Linked DNA regions of Styela clava. The protein of the gene in region 1 purifies or fractionates together with the protein of each later gene. This does not show direct contact. Links are inferred from orthologs where the notes say so. Each region holds a gene or a part of one and is shown in the gene's direction. Other genes may lie near its edges.

Region 1 (3,937 bases):
ACTGGCACTATCACATCTATTTTTGATTAGCTTTTATGCCCTCTCATAAAATTGTCTATACCCCTTGTGGGGCGCGCTCCACCTTCTGGGAATCACTGTCATAGAGATAGTTCCTAAACTGAAGTTCTAATAGCACCCTTATATATTGCTTTTTGGCTTGTAAATGCACATTGAAATCTCATTGTACTACAGGCGATTAGTGTCTGTACATACAGTGTTTTCCTGGAAATAAGAAGACAGGGGCGTATTTCAATTTTCCTCCAAAATTAACACTTGGGCTTATTTTTGGTGGTTTTGGTATTTTTCATTTATCAATAAGGGGAGGGCTTATAATAAAATTTCAAAATGTAAATTTTTTAAAATCAGGCTAGGTCTTATTTTCGATAAAACACAGTGATTACACTAAGACTATAGGATCACCTCAAGAGTGGATCAAACTCTAAAAAGCAATTAGCCAAGTAAATATATCAAACACATTTTCCTGGTTGATAGACCAGATATCCTTTTCCACTGGTGTGGATTTCATGTTGTCTCCGCATTATCCAGGATACAAAAAAAATCCTGTTGACACTAAAGACTCCCATTCAAATTAATATCTTTTAAGAGTCCTTGTTCAGGAATTTTAGGTCTATTTCCTTGTTATAATATGTGATTTATTATCGTCACTCAAGTACAAATTGTTTGAAATTTTTAGGGGATGTAACTTGAGCTAGTTTCATTTAGTATTAATGAAATATTTTCCTTCTACTTGTGTGTGTGTAATGCAATCATTTGAACCTTGCTATAATTTATTTTTTTAATGCAGTTGTATCTAATGCCTAATAGTCATTTTTAATGAGTTGGAAAATTTTTTGTACTTTTTCTATAATTATATGTTGGATTGCATGGAGAAATATTCTATAAAAATGCCATTGCATGTTGCATGGACTGTTTGACATTTATACTATCCTTTAATAAAGCTGATGTTATGCTTTGCTGGTGTACCCTGTGCTAATTGCTTGTATTCTACTAAATGCATTTGTGATCTTGGTCAAGTCCATGCATCTGGAAGAAAATCTAGTTAATTATTTTCATACCCGGCCTGAAATGATAACTAGATGAGCGAGTTTGCTTTGCCATATGATTAAGCCCTTTTTCACTTTCCACCCGCCCCCAGTATAAAATGTTATAAAAACCTCTCCTAGTAGCAAAAAACTTTGATGAGAATCGTGGTATAATGTATTTTGAATAAAATCTATTATTTGAATCATAGTTTATGCCAGATACAAAATGTTGCCTCGAGTTGTCACGCCTGATACAGGAATTCAACATACGGAACAAAATTGCAGAATCAACATAAACTCTGATGACAGAGGAAGTGGAACGTTGTATATTTCAGAAGAAAGATTGATCTGGGAGAATCAGGAGCATCGTGGACTGTCACTCGGTTATAAAGATATCGCAATACATGCCGTCTCTAAAGATTTACAGGTATTCAGTTGTACGCTTGGTATTCAATGAACTGTGGTTGCCATGGTTACCCCGCCTGCCTGTCTAGAGTTGTTTTCTTCCATTAACAAGAGTGACACTGGGGTAATGGGTCACCTAAATGTATCTTCAGAGTCTGAATTCCTTATAGGTGACGGTGCTTGATAACCATCACTGGTTATTGTGCTCCCTGCATACTGAAATTCATTTTTTTATCTGTCATAGTTATAATGTACAATGTGTACTTTCGACATGTGATAAAATAAACTACTGACTGACTGTATAATAGCTGTCATATCTTTAGAATATTTTATACCTTGGCTGTGAGAAAGTCCACAGACAACTAGTTGATCAGATATAAGGTTTGGCACGGTTTATGACAACCAAGACTGCGGCGTCTGAGAAATCCACAATTGCCAGTGACTAGTCGATTCTAGATTAAATGCGACTCTGGGTTAATAAAAATTTAGACCTTAGGCTTCAGCTACGAACTCTGTGAAACAGGACTACTAATCAATACAATTTGCGGAATTCGTCTTTCAGGTGTAATGTAATCATGTTATAATTTGGCTTTGTACATTTCTGCCATCATACTACTGGGTGTTAAAAAAGTAACGCAAAATAAACAGAAGTTTGGATGAAATGCTACTTGGTACGTTTAACGACTGATATCTTTCAAAAGTATTGAATTATGGTGAAATGCCATTTAAACATTTCACGTCTGATGCTTTTTAACAGTTACTTTTTTAACGCTGCCATGCCGAAAAATCTTTTTTAACACCCTGTATTTTCCATACCTTGAAGGTTATGGTTTTAGATATAATTTATTCAGTGTATAATCTTGTGATTTTCCAGGCATTTCCTGAAGAATGTCTTTACGTAATGTTCAATGGTGAGATTTGTGAACCGGTTGTCAATGGCAACGGACAGACAGAAGAGTACGATTGTGCAGATAACGAGTTTGCTGCTGACACAAGTGGTACAATATCAGAGATCAGATTTATACCAGTATGTAAAGACAATTTAAAACGAATGTTCGATGCAATGAGCGACTGCCAATGTCTCCATCCGGACAGTGAGGATAGCGATGACTATTATGGAGGAGATGGTGACAGTGAGGAGCAAAACTATGAAGGGGCTATGTACCCCCCTACTGTTTACAATGGCGGTGCGGGGGAAGGATTTTATACTTCTGAAGAAGGCTTACAACATTTAACGCCTGCAGGGCAAGCAACATTAGCAAGACTAGAGAATATGTTAGCAGATTCACAAATTTCTGAACCTGAGGGGATTTCCCAAATGGAAGGGGTTCAGATTGAGGAGGAGGGCCCCATGAACACTGATGAGCCTCCTGTGGTAGGAAGGCCCCCTGTTGTCGATGACAACCCGCAGCAAGGTGCCCCTATTCTTCCTTCAGTGGAAGGACAATTTGATGATGCCGAAGACACTCATTGATCTGCTCAATGCCAGGTTTCTGATGTCTGTCGTGGTTGCGGAGCAGGAAAAGTTTACAATCAACGCTGCGGGTTGAAAAAATAACAATTTTCTCTAAGATTGTAAATAATTTTGACTCCAGTTTCTAACTTGGAGAAAAATTAATATTAATTGGTATTATGCAAGTCTCCTCCAATAGATACTCAATAGACCTAATACTCTTGGATTTTAATGGAAAAATTTGACTTATCATCGTCATTGAGTGGGTAAAATTACAGGGAAAACATCCCAAGCTCTGACCTCCTACTCTGCAGCTTAGGTTATTACCACCAAGACTGAGTTGAGAACAATTGCATATCTTATTTGTTACTTGGTTCAATTAAGACAGGGGTTTTATTAATTAAACCTTTGTTCTCTCATTTACTTTTTTCACAAATTTCGAAGTTAAAATTTACCTCTTCACGACTCCACTCTTTATGGATGTTCATGGAGTCCCTTTACAATTTTAATTTTGGTATGAAGTCAGTTCTTAACCAGGTTTGTTGTTTTTTTTTATCAGTCAATTTTCAAGTATTTTTACTTCATTTAATAATACATGGGCCGGAACAATATGTGGTATTGATAAATTCCCTTCCAACTTCGAAAGTCTTTAAAACTTGATGGACACCCCATACTTCTACACATATCTATAAGGACTCAATTTTAAAGTAAATAGTGCACATAGGCTTTTTGAATTGAATGTGTTCACATTACTATATTTCAATCGTATATCAATTTAACCCTCCTGTATTAATAAAGGTTGCAAACACCTAGTTTAACACTCTGATTCAAATATATCAATCAAAATCTAAAATATCAAACAACTCAGCAATCTTTGTGATTGAAACAACACCTGATGTTTTTAATTGCTTAATCGTGATCCGCATGTTTATCACGTCTCCCTTCACACTGAAATGCATTTTTGTTCTTAATTATGTTTGTACAATGTGTACTTTCGGCATGTAATAAAATGAACAAGACTGATATATTCCTTTCC
Region 2 (3,318 bases), on another chromosome or scaffold:
CAAGGTCAACTACGTCGACCGACCCCTAAAAAAAGAAAAATTCTTATTATGACAAGACATTCGGGAGTCAGCCCTATTTTGACACCCCCAATATGACTTCTATGCTAACAACCCTCTCTATCTGGGAGATATCGCGTGTATCTACCAGACAGACAAACAAACAAACAGACATACCTATCAACATACTTGTCGATAAGTAACAAAGCATCATCCGGACTGCGATCGTTGTATTTAGTACTGTATATATTGACGTTCAATATACAAGAGGAATTTTAGTTTATACGAGGTAGACAGAAACTGTTTCAGCAAAACTTATAAAGAACAATCTTTACGTACGCCATAAAAATGTATTTTTGCATTACAAACTGCAGAAAGATGATCATTTTGACGCGTTGGAGATCACGTTTGGCAATGAGACGTCAGACTCCAGTCACCACTCTCCAATTCGCACGTGTTTTGTTACGGATGACTTAATACAGTTTTGCCGGCTGAAGAAATTTTTTGCATTGTGAAAAAAAAAGATTTCTATAAAATAATATTTGAGTATAAGTCAACAGCTTTTAGTCAGTCAAATTGTCAGTAATGTCATATCTTTATTTGGATATGGTTTAAACATATTCAATTGAGTTTTGTTTTTTCTTTTGTTTTCCTCTCTGTTAGTTTTGTTAATTTATTTTCGGTGTATGCTACTTCAGCTCAATTTCGTTTAAAAAATGGTAATTTTATATTTTTTTAAAGGCTGTGACTGACTCGATGACCTAACGGTCGCTTCGTCACAGCCTCGTCACAATGCCTTGGAAATTAATTTTGAAATGTTGTATGTTGTATTTTGATTTTGACATTGTTGACGAAATAAAATACTACTACTACTACTATTAGCATGCTCTAGGCTGGTCAACTTTTCGAGTTGCTTCGACGACCTCACAGCTCAATCTAATAACTGAATAACCTAAAAAACAAAAATAGTCTAGGCCTATCATGTCTGTCACTTTCGCAGACATGACACTAGTATGTACATGAGGACAGTAGATTGAGAAGACAAACCATGGTACCCCCGTAGTATGTGCACCAGGTTAGGCTATAATTTCAGGTGCAAATACTATGGGAGTGATTTGGCTAGTTCCCAAACTCGTAATACTGTAATAGAACTAAAATAAGGATAATTGGAATAAAATTATGCCCTAAACCTAACCTGTAGTTACTACGTTCTGCTGTCTGCCATCTTGGTGCTCATACTACGGGAGCGCTCAAATCATTAATGAAAATCATCTTTTAATATTCGTTCTAAAATTTAGATAAAATGTCCGTCAAATGGCTAGCAATTCTTTCTTGTTTGATAATCATTCAATTTGGAATTGCGGGCTTATGCTTCATGTTGATGTAAATAAAACTTCGAGGAATGAATCAAATTGGTCACTATGTAATTGATAAATTGGATGATGATTAGATAATTATTATTATCTTGCTTATCTTTCACATTATTTCTAACATATATAAATTTCCAATCTTTTCATCCAGCGTACACCTAAATTTTTTCACATAGCTTTTTGAGCTGAAGATGTCTTTTCGTGGTCGGGGACGTGGTGGAGGTGGATTCAACAATCGTGGAAGAGGAGGATTTCGTGGCGGAGGACGAGGAGGTGGTCGAGGTGGAGGAAATTTCAACAGATATTCAGACGAACCACCAGAATGTGTCGTTGAACTTGGTAAATTGATGCACACTTGTCAAGATGAACTTGTATGCAAATGTACGAATGAAAAAATACCATACTTTAATGCACCAGTTTACTTGGAAAATAAGTCAAGAATCGGAAAAGTTGATGAAATATTTGGACCAATTCGCGACTTTTGTTTCTCCGTCAAACTAGCGGATAATATGAAAGCGAACTCTTTTTCTAAAGAATCAAAGTTTTACATTGATCCAATGAAGTTGCTTCCGCTTCAGAGATTTTTACCAAAACCTCCCGGGTCTGTGCAAAAGGGTGGTAGAGGAAGAGGTGGTGGACGTGGAAGGGGGGGTGGCCGTGGCGGAGGATTTCGAGGGGGCCGAGGTGGTGGTGGTTTCAGAGGAGGCCGGGGTGGTGGAGGCTTCAGGGGTGGCCGAGGTGGGGGATTTAGGGGTGGTCGTGGTGGTTTTCGGGGTAGAAGGTGATCTCTCCATCAGTGTGGAAATTTTTTAATCATTGCACTGAAATGGTGAATTGCCAGAACAAAAGGCTTTATTCCTATTTTTGCATTCATAAATTCAATCATACAAGAACATTGAAATATTTTTTTTCTATAATGTATTGACCGAACTGCATTTTCTCATCAAATTTACGTATTTGTACAAATGCAAAAGTCATATCAGCCAATTATTTGGGGAAACTTTTGTTATTAGTTGTCTGTTTTAAGCATATTTGGATAATGGTGGAACATGCTTCTAGATTTTTTTTGATATGCTGAATATATGGGTAATGCGACTTCTATTTCTAAATCATAATAAGAGTTATTCATTGATATCACGGTTATTGAGTCTTGAACAAAATCATGCATAGGCACAAATAATAAATTGAACTAATGGTTTTCCGTTCTGCTTGGATATATGGAAAGTACCTTTTTAGGTAAATATCAAATTTTTTCAGTTCAAATGTGAAACTGCCATTTTTAACATTATGTCAATAAATTTTTCTCTTATTGATTGTGTATATAGTGGTGTTATTGATTATGGGAAAAAGTCTGGCATTATAGATGATAGTATTGCAGTCAGAACGAATCGCTGAATTCGAAAAAATAAGACTGAATCATACTATAAGGGTAATAATTAATTTTCAAGCCAAATTACCCAATTAACATTTTTTCCCACCAACTATAAGTTAAAGTAATCAATTAACGATGCTGCTTATCAGGTAACTGATAATAAATTGTGCTGTAAAGCTAGTTTTGGGAGAATGGATTACTTCGGCTGCAGATATCTGCCTCCATATTCAGAAGTTGTTTTACTCTTTCTAGATGCTATTCAGGCTTTGTTGCGTCAAAAATCAGGTTCATGCTTCTTAAGAAAGTAACATATTGTAGATTGCTGCCGTGATCCACCAAACTAATACAATGGTGTTATCGAACTTATATGTATCGCCAATAATCATTGTTTGCTCTCATATCCCTGAACTCATTTTATCAATATTATATATAGCCAGTGTTACCACCCCTGGGTCACAAGTCTAGCTACGAGTGAAAATGAGAAATAAAACTTCCATCTTTTGTTCAACAAATATTTTGAAAATAAAACTAGTATTGTATGACATATTATTGACAACACCAAATCCTGTACGGCAGTGG

The links.
Region 2: the proteins of methylosome subunit pICln-like (region 1) and H/ACA ribonucleoprotein complex subunit 1-like purify together in Homo sapiens (affinity purification with mass spectrometry; 3 studies listed by BioGRID and IntAct, counting the BioPlex papers as one, with this or other methods). This does not show direct contact. The link is inferred for Styela clava from reciprocal best matches to the Homo sapiens genes CLNS1A and GAR1.

Annotation. Positions count from the first base shown.
Region 1 is NC_135259.1:18,960,228-18,964,164, reverse strand, and holds the start of methylosome subunit pICln-like, read left to right. Parts: upstream 1-1,269; coding exon 1,270-1,470; intron 1,471-2,322; coding exon 2,323-2,922; 3' UTR 2,923-3,937. UniProt on the Homo sapiens protein: Involved in both the assembly of spliceosomal snRNPs and the methylation of Sm proteins.
Region 2 is NC_135253.1:15,137,202-15,140,519, reverse strand, and holds H/ACA ribonucleoprotein complex subunit 1-like, read left to right. Parts: upstream 1-1,504; 5' UTR 1,505-1,558; coding exon 1,559-2,152; 3' UTR 2,153-2,687; downstream 2,688-3,318. UniProt on the Homo sapiens protein: Required for ribosome biogenesis and telomere maintenance. Part of the H/ACA small nucleolar ribonucleoprotein (H/ACA snoRNP) complex, which catalyzes pseudouridylation of rRNA.